4 linked regions of the Caenorhabditis elegans genome follow. The gene in region 4 interacts genetically with the main gene of each other region. Each region holds a gene or a part of one and is shown on either strand. Other genes may lie near its edges.

Region 1 (4,539 bases), on a different chromosome or scaffold from region 4:
AGAAATTGCAAAAGTCGTCTGAAAAGCTGCAGAAGTTTGCCTAAAAGCTAAAATGCCTAATTGTTGTTAAGAAGTTGCAAGAGTATGCTATGAAGTTAGGCCGTTTTGCCGAGTGGGTGGCTTTGAGGAGTACTGTAACTCTCAACTCCTTGTTGTTACGGTTTTTGCTACAATAATACCATGGTTATCCATTTCTCATAGGGACCTTAAAAAGGCAATTGCCTGTCAACTTGAATAAAACATACATGTACCGTAGGTTTAGGGCAAAAAACTTGCACTACATATGAATTAAAATCCAAATATTTCAGTTTCAAACAGAGGAATGCGCGCGCCTCAGAAAGACGAGCCCGAACCCGATCTCCGAATGCTGAACTGGATCCTCAACGTGAACAACCACCTGCTCGACCAAACTCATTTACAAATCTCGGCCACAACATTGTTCTCACCTACCGTAATCTTTTGTACAAAGATCATACCTAGCATACTTTGTTTTGTCCACTTTCTCATTTCCCGTACAGTAACATTTGTGATATTTTGCCCACTTCCGAATGATTGGTTTTTATGTGAAAAAATAACTTCAATTTTAATTTTAAAGAAACAAACAATTAATACAGGAGTTAATACTTTGAATGCACTTGACTTCTTGATTGTGTTCTCTGATTTGATGTTCTTCCACTTGAAAAGAATCCAGAATCAATATGAGATGGCATTGGTGTTAATTGTGTCAAATGGGTAGTTGGAGCATTTGATGATAAAGAATACGGACGAAGTGTTGATTGTGTTGGATACGTTCGAAGTCGACTGCTCAATGAAGCTGATGGCTTTCTCTGAAAAAAATAAAATTCATGACAAGTAATGAACATCATTTCAAAGTACGGCTGAAAAAAATCCGGATTCTGTGCGATCAAGTGATCATTTTTGATGTGTTACAGAGGTTTTTCAATAATTTTTTGGTTTTCCAGCACTATTTCAGAATGTAATTTATCTGGTATTTAATTAAGAAGATTAGAACAAAAGCATGCTTTTATATTTTCCGCTGTTTGACCTACAGAACTCGCTAGGAATTTATTTTTACTAGCATGACGTCGATGGTTTCTTTAAAACTGAATTATGATTCCCTGTTAAGGCCAGATAGTAAACATGACATTTTTCTCTAAATCAAAACACTAATACAATTAAAAATTACCTTATCCGTCGGTGGAGGTTCGATTCTTCCCAAATCGCAATGAATTGATATCAAATAGGGAAGAACAAGTGGATCGGAAAGCAGCTCTGAAAATTAATCGATTACATTTCCAAGTGTGGAAATTTTTTTTACGTGATACGTCCGGTCTCTTATCCGTGTGTGTTTTAAGTAAGTTTTCCACTAACATCTTCACATCGTTTGATACGTGATCTCCCAACGGGTTTTGCTTTGACTGGAAATTGAGTGATACATGATTAAATTTAAAAATTTAACATCAGGGAACAATGCAAGGGTTTTGGGACCTATCCTTTTTTGGTACATACCCGGGTGATTTTCATTACAATGGCTGGTAAATTTTCGCCGTCAAATGCTCTTTCAAGCTGAAGAAGCTCATACAAAACACATCCTAAAGACCACATGTCACTTTTTTGATTGTACGGGCGACCTGAATATTATATTTTCATGATTATTAAAATGAAATTGACATACTTTCACAAATTTCAGGGCTTAAATAGTTTGGAGTTCCAATAACAGTCGACGCTGCAGATTTCGTTCCAAGCTCCTTTGAAATTCCAAAATCCGATAGCTTCAGAACAGTCTTTCGGCGATTCATAAGAATGTTTTGAGGCTTAAGGTCACGATGAACGATATTTTTCTGGTGCATATGATTGAGTGCAATAAGAATCTTCAAAAATATTTGTTTCAGTAAAAAGTTAAGATGATAACTAACCTGTGTAAAATAATCTAAAACAGTTTTTTCGGGAAAATATTCTCTCATGTTTGAATCTTTAATCGCTCTCTGATCATTTATTAATCTCTCTAATGTTCCTCCTTCCGCGTACTGCATAACTGAACATATCGAATTTTAATTCAATTTTAAAATTAAATTTACTTACCAATTCCAAGTTGATTATCCATAATAAAAGAATCAATATACCCGATTATTAATGGATGTTGAACTTTTTTCAACAAATTTACTTCACTCTGAATGCTATTTTCCTCTTTTTCAGTCATTCCGTGAGTATTGATGAGTTTTATAATTACCTGAAAAATTAAATTATAAAGTTAGTAGATTATAACACAGTACTGCTATTTGAAAAAAAAACTGATTTTCCAATAAAATAAGTATTTCTAAAAATTGATTATTTTCCCTAAATTAAACCATACCAGGCTTCAAATGTAAAAGAGTCCAACGAAACTATTACAATTGTCTGACTAACCTTTTGATGTGATGCATCATTTTTACCGCGACACAGCCAACAAACTCCAAAAGCACCACGTCCGACGACACGCACTTTTTCATAATTGTCCATTTGAAAATAATATTTGAATAGATAGGATTCAAAACTATAAATTCTAGAAAAATGTGAAGACGTGACTAATCAGTGAAAAATAATCAATAACCGACGGTGTTCTTCTTCTGCGTCTCTCTGAAAGAACAGGTTTATTATCAAAGGGATTGGGGAAGTCATTGAAAAATGCCGCGCATTTTTTATATATCACTTGTCTCTTTGACAGATCCTAGTGGTTTTTCATGTGATAAGTTTAACCTGTAAAACGAACACACGAACACTGTTCGCTTTATTTTGGTTAACAATTTCAACGAAACGGCAAGAAATCAATCAAACAAATCAATTAATGTTTCTCTTCGAAGACATATTCTCTAAATTATAAAAGATTGTTTGACCTCAAAAAAATGGCATAAAAAACTCAATTCTAGAGAAATAATAGAAAACTTTGGCCACCTGGAGCAATGGATACACAGATAGAACGGCTATTTTTAATTGGCAGAAAGTTGGCAGACCGCCAGCAGTTAGTTGGGGGGACAAATATATAGCACCAGAGGTGTGCCATCTGCCATTTAACTGCAAATAAACTGCCGTTTATCTGCTTACACCACACAAATTTAAGCCTTTTTAAAAGTCATGTTGGCTATTATTATGCAGTATTCTGGTTTATTTCTAGGCAAAATTGCAGTTTTTGTAGGTAAAAACAAGCAGTCTTGGATACAAAATGATACATAAAAAATTTTTCATGCACTGACCAATTGAAAATTAGACTTGCAGGCAATACTAATAAATAGGAAAAAAAGAATTCTTTGTTTGAAAAATTGATTTTAATTTTAATAAAATGATGACAACGTGAACTCATTCCCTCCCCCCTCCACCTTTCAATAAAAAGGTTTTGAACTTCGCTCCAAGTTCAGTTCTTAGTTTTTATCCAACGCGGAAATGGCTAACAAAGAAAAGTGAGTTGAATTTAAATGCGGTTGTTGTTAAAATCTTCATGAATTCAGGATTCTTGAAGAGGACATTAACCTACCGTATTATCATGGTGCACTCATGAACCAGGATGCTGATCAGCTTCTAGTTGTAAGTGACAATTTAGAGGGCGCTTTATCCGTGGATCTTATGTCATTTCGTATCCACTGTACACATATTGACTCAATCAGTGACCACAATGGACCTATCGCGAGCACGCGCTCAACACAAACGTAACGTGATGAGCGTCTACAGCGATCTTACAAGGGTCCTGGTGAACACAATAACTGTCTAGATGGATTTCCAGATGGAATTGGTTTCAAATTTGAAGAACGTTGGATTTTTCAACATAAACGATTTTAATTTTTTTCAGAATGACGGTGACTACATGATTGTTGTAAAAATGAATCAGGAATTGAACAAAATGGTTTGCCAATTTAGTTTAAATAATCTTCAAAAGTGAATTTATTTCAGCAACTCTACTTGGCTGTTCGTTTGAAAAAAGGAATACGTCGTTTCGAAATCAAACGGAATCCGACTTCTGCAAAGATTGGGGTATGCATGCACCGTACTTCTAACTAACAAATTTAATATTGTTTTCAGGGAAAATCAGCTCCTAATATTGGGAAGCTGGTTGACTCAATGCAAAAAGAAACTATGGAAATCAAAGGAGAACGGGTGATCTTGAAACGTGCGATTCCCAAGGGAAAGTTCCAATTAATGCATAAAGATGTGGACTTTAAAAAGAAGGTATTAATTATTAATGAAAGAGGCTTCAATACCTGAAAACCTTAATTTTCAGCTTGGTAGTGGAGCCTACGGAACCGTCTATCTTGGCCGTCTCACCAAGAACAATACCAAAATTGCTGTAAAAAAACTTGACACTGAAGGAAACGACGAAGAATCATTAGCCGAGATGATGAAGGAAGCGAGAGTTATGCAACTCTATGACCATCCAAATATTGTAAAGTTCTATGGATACATTGTTGATGATATTCCATACTTGCTGGTTCTGGAGCTTTGTAACGGTGGATCGGTAGAGGATAAACTAGTGGAAAAGGGAGCCAAGTTGAGCACAAAGACAAGGATCAT
Region 2 (4,365 bases), on a different chromosome or scaffold from region 4:
GTGGGGCCTCAATTAACACACTCCGCCTCCAAAAAGTTGGTTAGGTATATACAAGGTAAAAGTTTAAAATTTTTAAAAAATCAATTTCGGCTTAAAAATGATTTGAAAAAAACAACGGAATACATTGCAAAAAAGACGAAAAAAATAAAAGGCAGGTTTTTTTGTAATGTATTCCGTTGTTTTTTTCAAATCATTTTTAAGCCGAAATTGATTTTTTAAAAATTTTAAACATGATCTCGACGTAAAAATCATTGAAAATAACCGAAAACAGCAAAAAAAAAAAACAAAAAACCGGAAAATTAATTGAAAACGTTTGAATGTACGATTTTTTCACCAAAAACCTAACGAGACCTAACGTTTTGAGGCGGAGCCCGCGTGCCCATGGAGCGCACTTGTGCTTCGATTTCAAAAGGCGCGTTTTTTCCTATAATTTACATATTACACACATGTGGTAAAAAAGAAAATAATAAATAAATTGGATAAATAAACCACTGTTTAAATTTTCGAGCATAAGCTTAAAATGCATATAATTTATCAATTAAAATTTGGTTTGGAGTGGAGAGAAAAATAATTATATAATTAGTGAAGAATTGAGATAAAACGTAATTAGATTCGATAAAAAGAGAATTTTTGAAAATGTTGTTGAGATCCCAGTTTACAGGTCGGCAGAGGGAGAAGGAAGAGAGAAAAAATCGATATTATACGGAAAGAGATATAATTTATTAATTGTTGCGGATTCCGAGACTTTGCTCCAGCTCGGCTCGTTTTTGTTGGATTTTCTGATACATGTACCTGGAAAATACAGAATTTTGGATATAAAAATGATAAATTATTAGTCATTTGTGAATTTTTTTGATATTTTTTTCGCCAAAAATACGGAGAAATTTAGAAAAATTGTGCAGCCTTAAGGAGTACTGTAACTGCAATTCATCGTTTTGGAATTTTTCCTCGGTTCTTTAAAAAATTTTTTATTTATTTTAAAACTATAAACAAATGTTGACAAATCGCTGAAAATTCCGCAAAAACGAGGAAATTTTCGGCAATTTTAAACATTTTTAGGTTTCTATTGTTAAATTTGAGTTTTTTCTATAAATAAATATATTTTCAATTAGCTTATGAACATACCGTGATACACCTTCATCTGTATCAGTTGTACTGTACGTTGTCGCATAACGATCGGATTCTCCATCACCACTTGATTCTGTTAAAGTCTTCAAGTCAGAATTCTGGCTTACAACCCATTTCTTGATGAATCCACTGGGCTCGTTCGAGAAACGAAGGAAGAAATCACGACGCAGCTTCATCTCGTTTATTTGATCTACCAAGTCGAATATTTTTTGATCAAGTAGTTGAATGTCGTTCGCATTTGTTTGATTGTGAACGAAATTTGCCATTTGTTGTTTGACTGGATCCTCGAGCTCGACATCTGAAGAAAAAATGAGAAAGAGATTTTTACAGGAAAAATTGAAAAACTAAAACATTTTCAAACTTCCGGTCTTAAAAAATCTAGAATTAATTTATAAAGTTCTTACCAATATCATAACAAGCAGAAGTTTTATCTTGACCATCATCAGGCCGCTGAATAATATGATTCAAGACTAAAGGATCAGGCTGTTGCAAGAGTTGATGAAGTCTTTGAGGAATCTCCATAAATCTCATCTTGCTCACACCAAAACATTGCTCCAAGAAAAGATCATTATTGATTGTATCACGATCCTGTGGATCTTGAAGCTTGTGAGTTTTGATGTACTGCCACAGGGCTTCAATAATTCTCGGACGAGTTTCTGCAGCAATTCCGAGAACTTTTGCAAGTCTCGGATGAAGTTTAAACTTCATTGGCTGATAATCGAGTAGAAGAAGGATTGTGCATTTAACGGGACGATCTCCGGGGCGCTTCACTTGAAATCCGTCAGTTTCATTGGTTTGTGGAGTACGGTGCCACTCAACGAGATGGTTGTCTGGGCCATATATATCTTTATCCAGCTCAATAACTAGGCTTTTGAAAAATGAACTGAATTTCCGTTTTGGAGCTGGACGGGGATTTGCTCCAACTGTGGGATGTTGCTGTAACAGAAAAAACCAATTAATTTTAATGTGTTAACTCAATATGTCCTACCATATCATCTAAAAGTCGTCCTTCAACACGTAATTCCCACATAGGAACAGATGCATCGTCGCCTTCCTTCTCTGGTTCTTTTCCAGCTATAAATGTGTGTGATATGTATATACGAAGACGTTTCTTGATTTTTTGGGGTCTTTTCAGAGCTTCTTGAACATCAATCTTCTTTCTTGTAATTGTTGAATCAAGCTTCTGCTCAAATGCTAACAAGTCCATATAGGCTTGTGATTCGGGAACCAGTTCGCGAACCTGAAATTATTTTATTATTTTTTTAAAGGAAAATTCGAAAGTTTTCAAGTATATTTACCTTTGGTTGAATTAATTTATCGGCATATCGCTTTTTCTTTTTCGGAGGCTGTGGGCCCCGGTTTCCCTGTATTTGAGCGGTTTGTCCAGGCAACGGCGCGTTAATCGGCCGACGTACTTGCTGTGGTGTTGCCTGTAAATCAAAAAGGTATTTTTAAAAGAAAAACGATTTAAAAGTTTACCGGATGGTTGAATCTTGGCCCCTGCGGAACTGGTGGCCGCGCTTGAGTTTGCATTCCTGAAAAATATGAAGATTTTTTCAAAACAAATAGCCAGAAAGATAAAAATAATAAGTTATTTGTCTTAAAACATGTTTAAACACAAGAAAAATGAAGCGAGAAATTATTCAAAAATGAGAGAAAGTCGATACGAATACGGTACTATTTTAAAGGCGCATGCAGCTTTTGTTGAAATCGTGACGAGACCCGCACCGCATCGGGACAACTTACCCTTTAATGTGTGTTTCTATTCTTTTTTTTCTTTTTTTCAAATTTAATTCGAGTTGTTTTCCTTTTTAGAATCAATATTTTTCTTAATAATAATTAATTAATTTTAAAATAATGAATTTCTCTATTCTTGAAGTGAAAAATAATTAATTATTAAGGATACGACAACATTTAATAGTATTTTTTCTCAATTTAAAGGGAAAAAAAAATTAAAAATCCTAATAATTGTTAGATGTGCAGCCAGAAAGAGCTAGAGGAGCACACGGAGCGGTGTGAGTGTTCATTATCGATTTTCTCTGCCCTGCAAGGCCGCAATGTTCGTTTTCTAGGCCAGCATTTATTTAACGTTTCCAAATGTCTGACGATTTCGTAAATTAATGTCAATTATCCAAGTATAAATGAAATAATTTTTAAATAATTCCAGATGAGCACACTATCGGTCTTAATCGAAACATCATCTTGCTCATGGGGAATGCTAGCAAGTGCACACGGTGATCGAACAATTGGAATTATTCTACGAGCAATCGTATGTTTGATTTGATTCCGCTAAAAGATTTCATCAAAAATTTTATTTTTAGGTATCATTCTGCAATGCTCATCTAGGACAATCTGCAAATAATCAGCTTCTAGTTTTTGCATACGGACGAAATGTGGATAACAAAATGATATATTCTTCTACAAGATGTGAAGATCGGAATGCTTCGTTTCTTGTTGTGAAGCGTTTGCGGGAACTATTGAGTAGTGATGCATTAACTAATGATGCAACTATTGGAGCACCTCTAGGACCTGCCTTGGCTCATGCTTTTTGCCGTGAGTTGGAGGAACTTCCAATTAACAAAAAAATATATAAAAACGGAAGCTATATTTCGACATTTCAGATATGAAAAAAGACAGCCGAGTAGTAACTGCTGATCCATGTGATGATTCTCTTGGACCTCAGACTACATCAGAACAATCGGAAACCGCATCTGAAAAGGCTACGAATAGAGCAGTAGTGATATCAATTACTCCTATCATGGGAAGCGAACACGGATCGTTAATGAATTTGTTCTTCTCTGCTGCAAAACAGTCAATCTGCGTTGATGTTGTATCGATGGGAGATGATTTTACTGGTGGAATCCTTCAACAGGCAGCAGATATTACTGGCGGATCTTTTCTACATGCCAAAAAACCACAGACTTTATTGAAAATTTTAATGGTAAGTTTCACAGATTTTTGATCTTCATATTAATTATTTGATTCCAGACTAATATGCTAACCGATCCAACTCACCGTGCAGTATTCTCGAAGCTTTCTCATAATGTAAGCCAAAACCAACGACTGGAACCAACTCATAGTTTATAATTTTCAGTCAGTCGATTATCGAGCATCCTGTGCGTGTCATCATCAGCTTGTATCCTCCGGTTGGGTGTGCTCCATCTGTCTTTCAGTCCTCTGCCAATATACTCCAATATGCAAAGTTTGCAAAGCAGCGTTCACGATTGCCAATCTTCC
Region 3 (2,744 bases), on a different chromosome or scaffold from region 4:
ATTTAATATTTTGCGGATTCAAAACTGAAAATATTTGAGAAACATGTGTTTAAGAAAATTTAGAACTTTAGAAAATACAATTATTTGAAATAATACGGTTTTATAAATAGGCTAACTCATTTTTCAATATATAAATACTTTCGAATCAATATTTATTTAAAATATATTTTAAAATAATATATTTCTAAACTATTCTGCTTCGGAGAAAAGTCGTTCAATTTTTTTTTTCCTAATTTGTGTCCATTTTTAGATTCCGTACAGTTTATGACAAAAACAAAGACGGAAAACTGGCCGGCGACGAGCTGACCGATTGGCTTCTCGTTGATGGAACAACAGCTGGATCTTATGAAGCTGAAAGTCTTCTAACAAATTCAGATGATGATAAAGATGGACAATTGTCTTATGAAGAAATTGTGAAGCATCATGCTCTTTTTGCCAAAACTGAAGCTGCTCAAGAAGCCGATCATCTGCACCCATATTATTCTCATGACGAGTTGTAATTATGTAGATCTCTGAATCGAAGTTAATTGAACAAATGATAAATTATTTACAATTGTATATATCTGAATAGTTTATTCACAGTAGTTTGCTTTCATTTTACAAAAAATTGGAAGAATGCGAAAATTGGATCATATAAATAGGACGAATAGTAAAGACAAAATCGGCGTTTGGATTAGTATTATGGATGACAAAAGTGAGGTTTGAAAGCGATGGTGGATGAATAAATGATTTAGAGCATGCTGCACTTGCTCTTCTCAGCCCATGGGTTAACCTTCTTGTCGATTGGGTTCACAAGTGGATCTTCTTGGCTTTCGGTGAAGCGACGAAGTCTGAAAGAAACAAAATTTTGAAAGTTGGGCATTCTGATCTCGTTAACTTACTCGGCTGCCGAAACAGTGATCGGAGTACGCTCAATATTGAGCTGGCTGCGAAGCGAGTCGACGGTTCGTTGCATGTCAGATTTATCCATCTTGTCTGAAACATTTCTTTATTGAATCGGAAATGAGAATCGTTTGAAAAAGAGTATTTGAAAGCCAAATTATACGAATTATTGCGAATACCATGGAGAACGAATAGTATTCAGAAAGTTATGAGAAACGGGTAGTTGCAAGTGTACGTTATAAATTAAACTTGTTAAGAACATTCAAAATTGGCCTATAAATAAGTTCGACTGACATTATTTAACTTGAAAAAAAGAGGTTTTTGGTAAAAGCAAAGGTTTAAATTAGGTTGAATTAACTGAAAAACAGTCGAATCATGGATTTTATTCAATTGAAAACCGAAGTTTCTGACTATACATTGACAATATCAGTCGAATTGGAAAAAATGAGTACTATAAAAGGAGTAGCAGAGCAGAGCAAAGACAGAAATGAGAGAAGAAGTGAGCACCAGCGGGACCCTGCCAGTCTTTTCTCTGCGCTCCTCCTCGCTTTGTGCTTCGCATTTGAAAATCAATACTTGAAAGAGTGTAGTGAAAATGGAGACATTGTAGAGGGCAGAGTGCTGCTGCTGCTGTTTCGATTGGCACACACACTCTCGCTCTGGCGCATACATTTACGCGAGACAACCTCACACACAAGCCCTACGAAGGAAAATTGAGAAGACGAAGAAGACATGGAAATTGAAGTGAGAATATATGGAAGATGACGGAAATGGAGGGGAATGAAGACATTAATTGGTGTTATATTTTCAAAGTGTGGAGCTTATATACAAAGGACAGACAGAAAATCATGGCACTATATTCGGAAAAAGATTTATGTATATTAAAGTTCACTGTGAGAAATTAAATTATTAAGCCAGCATTTTAGATTTTTTTCGTTATCGACAAGTCAATTGACAGATCTTTGAAAAACCGTGAATATATCCTGCAGTTCTAAAACAAAATGAGACTTTCATCGCCCAAAAAATTAAAACTTCATTTAAATAGCCAACCATCAGTTTTACAATTGTAAGATGCTGCTAGACAGAGAACAGCTTTTCTTACTCGTTGGAGATGCAAAGCATTTTCAGACCAAATAAACTCACTGTTTGCATTTAATGGAAGATGAGAAAATAAGTGAAAATTTTGTTCAAAAATACATTGTAAAAGAATAAGAAAACGGTGGTACATAGAGCCTCGAAACAAAAGAAAAATTAATATTAAAATGCATCATTTATTGTTCGTAGTACGGTAAACAATCGGTGTTTGCGACCACTGCAACGGACGCTACGCGCAAATGCACGGCCGAGAGTTTAAATCGAAAAATATTTTTTGTTTTGTTACTTTGTTTTCTTTCGGTTTTTATGTGAAAATTGTATTAGTTTTTTGTAATTTTTGCCACAAAAACGTATATTTGATCTCGACGGATAAAAAAGAACAGAATCAGAAAAATCCGTTTTTGTCTTTCAGAAATGTCTACTGCGTATGAAGTTCAATGTCGTGGATTACCATGGGAGGCCACTGAACAGGAGCTAAGAGATTTTTTCGGAAGTGAGTGGTGTTTTAAATCGTTATAAAAAAATCTTCTTCAAGATAATGGAATCGAAAGCTTGGAAATTCCAAGGAGAAACGGTCGAACCAGCGGTGATGCGAAAGTGGTTTTTACCAATGAAGAAGACTACAACAATGCTTTGAAAAAAGACCGAGAGCACTTGGGAAGCAGGTTTGACTTTCAAATATTTCTTTTAACGAATTAACTGTTTGCAGATACATCGAGGTTTTTCCTGCGGGTGGAGCACCAACAAGGCGTGGAGATCGAGGTGAA
Region 4 (5,011 bases):
CGGAAAATTTTAAAAATTCAGAACTTTTCAAAAATTAATTTAAAAATGTTAAAGAATTATGTTTTATAGATTTTTAGAAATATTATAAAAACGGTTTTTGTATGAATTTAAAAATTCTTATAACATTTCAATTTTAAATATTTTTTTAAAATAAAACTTTTCAAAAATACATTTTTTTAAAATTTTGTTTGAAATGTAATATTTGAAATAAAAAAAGAAAATTTTATTGGAATTTTTTGTTTCTTCGTTTTTAATATTTATTTTTGCGAATTATCGGAGTTTAGGCCGAAATTTTGTGAAATTTTCGAACAAAAAGGGGTCTGAAAATTGAATAATTGTTCAAAATTGGGGAAAAATTAAAATTTGGTAAATTTCAGCAAATGTTTTTTTGCAATACCTTTAAAAAATTAATACACTCCGGTGCACACCAAGCAATAGGAAGCTTAAGATTCGGTGTAAATTCACTTCGATAATAATCTTCACCAATTCCAAGAGATCTCGATAGTCCAAAATCTGATATTTTCACAAGTTTCGGTGAGAAAACGAGCACATTTCTTGCGGCAAGATCTCGATGAATGAGTCTTTGTAATTCAAGATATGACATTCCCATTGCAATTTGTTCAGCATAATCACATAAAACATGAACTGGAAAACTATCACGGAGAGCCGGTTTGTGAAGGCATTCCAGCAAAGATCCACATGTTGCGAGCTCCGAGACCTGCAAATTTTTTGTTATAATTTTTGAACTTTTAGATAATTCTGAAATGTTCAATTTTTTTCGAAAATTTATGATTTTTTATCATTAAAACTTTCTCACGAGGAGGAGAAGTGCGCAATTTTTGCTGTGAGTTTGACAGTTTCAGGCTAGAATACATCGTTCTGGACCATTTTTTCCGTTTTTTTTTCCTTTTTTTGATGAAAAATGCAAAAAATCAAGCTCTAGGGTTCTATAGAGATTTCTTATTAAAAACAATTTTTAAATACTAATTTTAATTTCAAAAGTCGCATAAAAAATTTCAATTTTTAAAATAATTTTCGGTATTTTTTTTTTCTGTAAAAATGGTCTTTGTTTGTCTTCGTTTAGGCATACGAGAATCTAATATTTATTCTGGGTTTTTCTAGCAAAATCGAAAATTGCATTAAAACTCTATTTTACGATATTTTTTCCATTGTTTTTTGAAATTTTTTTTCGGTTTTATGACAAAAAATTTGAATATACAAAAAATTCTAATATTACCAGATTTGTTCCGGCTTAGATTTTAATTTTTAAATCCTTACCAACATAATTTTTTTCGTATCAAGAACAACTCCATATAGTCTAACAACATGTTCATGTCTCATTCGTGTCATAATTGCAGCTTCTTGTAAAAATGATGATGACGTGGCAAGTAGTTTATCAGATCCAACACATTTTACGGCTACTTGAATGACGTCACTTCCTGCTGAATTCTTCCATCCTGCTTGCCAAACTGACCCGAATTCTCCTTGTCCCAACTCTTTGCAAAGCGTTATTCTGGAAAATTGTAACTTTAGTTTTCAATTAATTTTCTCGAAAAATTAAATCGAGCAATTTTAAAAGAGATTTTTCAATGTTGAAAAAATAATATGATGTAATGTCAAATTTGCAAACACAGTTTTCTTCGATTTTGCAAAATCTCGGAAAGTCGAAACCTCTGTACTTTTTTCTGAAAACAAGGAATTTTTAAATAAATAGTTTGTTTTCTAGGAAACTTGAATTAAAATTTAAAACCTAAAAATAAATAAAATGCAAATTTGCTTGGAAATTTCCGATTTTTCTGATTTTCAATAACGAAAATCAGATTTTTTAAATTTTAGATATTTTTCTTCACTTTTTTGTAGATAACTTATATTTTTATGTGGTGGTTATTCTTGCGAAGAGGAATAAAATTTGCTAAAAATTTTTTATTTTTTAATCTTCGAAAAAAAAAAATTATTTCTTTTGTTTTTTTTTCTGAAAATACCATACTTTTAAAATTAATTTTCTTTCGATTTTTTCAAATTTTTCATTCTGAAAAAATGATCTTTTGCCAAAACATCTTTTTTTCTGGAGTTTTTAAAAAAATTTTTTTTAATTTTCCATTTTGCTCCACGTTTTTCCCAGAAATGCTCACTTTTCAATTGGAATTACATGATGATCATTATCATCTTGATTTGCAACTGAATTCGAAGTTTTTCGATCCAAACTTTCCGCCCTTTTGAATGCTTTTTTCACTTTTCCAAAAATTCCAGACGGAAACATTTTTGTATATTCTTTTCGGAGGCGCTTTTGCTCCGGGCGGCTCATTCCTGAAAAATGTAAGTTTATTTTTCGGATTTTTTTCTGAAATATAATTCTTAATTTCCGATCAATTTTTAATTTAATTTCAGAGAAAAATAAACTAATTTTAAAAAATCTCAAATTAAAAAAAAGAAAACTAAAATAAATGGCCACAAAATGAGCAGTCATACGATTGAAAAATGAGAAAAATAAACACTTGTTTCGATTGAATCGTTGTGTAAATATTGATGGTATTTAGAGGCAGAAAGTAGAAAAAAAAAACAAAACAAATTTAATTATTTTTTGTCGAATATTATTTTTAGAATTTTAAAGAAGTTATTCTGGTTTTTTTTCAGAGATTATTGTTCTATTTTTGAGTGGAAAACTAACAAAACTGTGATTTTTTCGGTATTTTTAAAATAATTATTCATTGAGATTAAAAAAAAAATCCTCACCAACAGACAACAAATCGACTTCTTCGACATATTGTAAATCGGCAGCATTTCGTAGTTTTAGTTTTCGACGGAGATCTGATTCGTAGCTGAAAATTTTATTTTTTAATTACTTGAATCTCGGTTTTTACGCAGAAATTGTTAATTTTTCTTCTGAAAACCCCATTTTTCAGCAAATAATCTTAATTTTCCAGCTCTTACCCTGATAAATCGGCTGCTTGAAGCAGTTTATTGAGCGTCGCATCAGCGGTACCCGCCGTCGGCTCCTCTCGCATTCTTCGAATATTTTTCTTTTTTCGTTGTTTCTACCCCCGGTTGACGTTTGTTTTGCCTGCAATTTTTAGAATTTACAGTCAATTTTACACAATTTAAACGGAAAAATAACAGAATTGAAAGGCGTGGGAGGATGTGTTGACACGTGTTCAGAAAATGAAGAAAAAACAGTTTAAAATAGCAAATACCGTACCCGCCAGTTCTCGAAACGATTTCACGTATTTTAAAGTTTATGCTATGCGCCTTTAAGGAGTACAGTGTTTGATACTTCTGAAATTGCTAGTTTTTTTGAAAACTAATAAATAATTAAGAAAATGGAGCAATTTTTCACTGAAAAATCAATTTCAAAAAAATTAAAAAATTTGAGTTTCAACAAAAATCAATGAAACATTTCTTTGGAAAAAAGATGTTCAAAAAAAGATATTGGATATACATTTCTACATGCAAAGAGAGGAGACCCAGGAACATTGAACAAAAAAAACTTTTGGTCACTCTCACTTCCACTCTCTGCATGTTTAGAATTGCGTGCAATGAACCGGGCAAAAATTCATTTATTTCGACAAATTCGTGTTTGTGCGTGCTTCCCTTTATTTTTCAATTCATTTCCAATACACATTTATGTAGTGTTGAAAACTTACTAAATATGGAAGTTTGTTGCAATAGGAGAATTCAGTATTTTTCGAAAATAGAAATTAAAAAAAAATAGAAAATATTTAAGGCATTTACAGCGAAATACTGCGGAATGTAAATATATTGACGATTCACATTTTTCTGTTAAAAAAATGTATCGAAAAAGTATCGTATTTTATGTTTTTAAAGGCGCACGCAATTCTCCGACTGGGTCTCGCCACGAGAAACAAACGTGTATGGTACAAATTTAGATTTTTCTTTGAAAATTTTCTTGCAATTTCTGCTATTTAGTATTCTCAGCATTTCGAATGATAATCATGAAAATAAATAAAAAATATAAAAATCGGAAAGCGCTACCATAAAATTTTCTAAAATGCTTTCAAATAAAAAACCCGCAAAAACCATTAACTAGACTGATACTATTCTGAATTCGAATTAAACTAGAAAGACGGGAAGTTGAAAAAAAATTTCGAAAAGAATTTATCGCCGCATGGTTCATTAAACAATATCGTAACTTCTCAATTTTCTGAAAACTGTAGTCGAAGGCGCACGGATTTAGCCAGATGGGTCTCGCGGCGAATAAAGTTTTTGGTAGATTCAATTTTTTTCTTTAATTAATTAAACTTAAAATTGTGATAATAACACAACATACATTGATTTTTAAAATATGGATGTGCTCCAAAAGTGCTTCAATAAGTGATATTTATTACCCATTGTTTTTTTTGCGGCGAGACCCATCCGGAAAATTACGTGCGCCTTTAAGCAATATTTTCAGAAAAATGCGAAAGGATTAAAGCATACTACATGGAAACGTAAAAAACAAAGAAAAACTCTAATATTGCATATATCCCGAGAACAATCGAATAAAAAAAGGAGCTCCATTCCGAAAAAATGAAGGAGAAAACGGGAAAGACCATCAATCAAATTGGATGTGGAAACACATGGAGAAGAAAGAAAAAAAAAGAAAAAAGGGCGAATATCTTGTAATAGTAGTACTGGTGGTTGTAGTTGAAGTACACTTTGAAATAGTGTATGACTTCAAGCGAACATGAGGCGCAGACGGTTAGATACAATTAGCTAATGAATGTAAAGTTTCTTTTGCTTTATTGTTACGGAGATTCTAAAGTTTTTGAATTTTTTGCAAGGTTTTAAAAAGGCGCACGAATTCATTCGGATAGGTCTTGCCACGAGATGAAAGAAAAGTTTTGAAAAATCATTTTTCTAAAAAAAATCATAGATGAAATACTGAAAAGAAAATTTCAGAAAAAACTGCACACAAAATTTCGAATAGCGTAACACTGCGAAGCCAGGATATGTTTTTTTTTAATTCTTTTTTATATGAAAATTCAATTTTTCCCAATTTTCAGTTTTTTTTTTC

What was found.
Region 1: of ark-1 (region 4) and nekl-2, changing one enhances a phenotype caused by changing the other (phenotypic enhancement), as found in Caenorhabditis elegans (one large-scale study listed by BioGRID).
Region 2: of ark-1 (region 4) and ham-3, changing one enhances a phenotype caused by changing the other (phenotypic enhancement), as found in Caenorhabditis elegans (one large-scale study listed by BioGRID).
Region 3: of ark-1 (region 4) and gpc-2, changing one enhances a phenotype caused by changing the other (phenotypic enhancement), as found in Caenorhabditis elegans (one large-scale study listed by BioGRID).

Annotation. Positions count from the first base shown.
Region 1 is NC_003279.8:6,661,166-6,665,704, reverse strand, and holds nekl-2 (Serine/threonine-protein kinase nekl-2), read right to left. Parts: upstream 2,572-4,539; 5' UTR 2,500-2,571; coding exon 2,407-2,499; intron 2,231-2,406; coding exon 2,083-2,230; intron 2,036-2,082; coding exon 1,917-2,035; intron 1,872-1,916; coding exon 1,676-1,871; intron 1,632-1,675; coding exon 1,510-1,631; intron 1,419-1,509; coding exon 1,319-1,418; intron 1,273-1,318; coding exon 1,187-1,272; intron 828-1,186; coding exon 618-827; 3' UTR 545-617; downstream 1-544. Other genes in the region: ZC581.9 (Protein kinase domain-containing protein), read left to right, coding at 309-480; ZC581.7 (Tyrosine-protein kinase), read left to right, coding at 3,418-3,434, 3,483-3,558, 3,821-3,874, 3,922-4,002, 4,051-4,197, 4,250-4,539. UniProt on the Caenorhabditis elegans protein: Probable serine/threonine-protein kinase required for the completion of molting. May play a role in endocytosis in the hypodermis syncytium.
Region 2 is NC_003281.10:10,119,079-10,123,443, reverse strand, and holds ham-3 (SWI/SNF chromatin-remodeling accessory subunit 1), read right to left. Parts: upstream 2,664-4,365; 5' UTR 2,662-2,663; coding exon 2,608-2,661; intron 2,559-2,607; coding exon 2,427-2,558; intron 2,369-2,426; coding exon 2,117-2,368; intron 2,065-2,116; coding exon 1,533-2,064; intron 1,427-1,532; coding exon 1,126-1,426; intron 793-1,125; coding exon 723-792; 3' UTR 519-722; downstream 1-518. Other genes in the region: gtf-2H3 (General transcription factor IIH subunit 3), read left to right, coding at 3,296-3,397, 3,450-3,681, 3,750-4,069, 4,117-4,173, 4,223-4,365. UniProt on the Caenorhabditis elegans protein: Involved in transcriptional activation and repression of select genes by chromatin remodeling (alteration of DNA-nucleosome topology).
Region 3 is NC_003279.8:6,755,994-6,758,737, reverse strand, and holds gpc-2 (G protein gamma domain-containing protein), read right to left. Parts: upstream 976-2,744; 5' UTR 971-975; coding exon 882-970; intron 831-881; coding exon 731-830; 3' UTR 560-730; downstream 1-559. Other genes in the region: calu-2 (EF-hand domain-containing protein), read left to right, coding at 251-500; hrpf-1 (RRM domain-containing protein), read left to right, coding at 2,392-2,470, 2,513-2,642, 2,687-2,744.
Region 4 is NC_003282.8:12,627,962-12,632,972, forward strand, and holds the start of ark-1 (Ack-related non-receptor tyrosine kinase), read right to left. Parts: upstream 3,062-5,011; 5' UTR 3,006-3,061; coding exon 2,932-3,005; intron 2,820-2,931; coding exon 2,734-2,819; intron 2,308-2,733; coding exon 2,133-2,307; intron 1,514-2,132; coding exon 1,279-1,513; intron 719-1,278; coding exon 398-718; intron 1-397. UniProt on the Caenorhabditis elegans protein: Probable tyrosine protein kinase which plays a role in vulva development, probably by acting as a negative regulator of the let-23/EGFR and let-60/ras pathway. Involved in the negative regulation of germline development.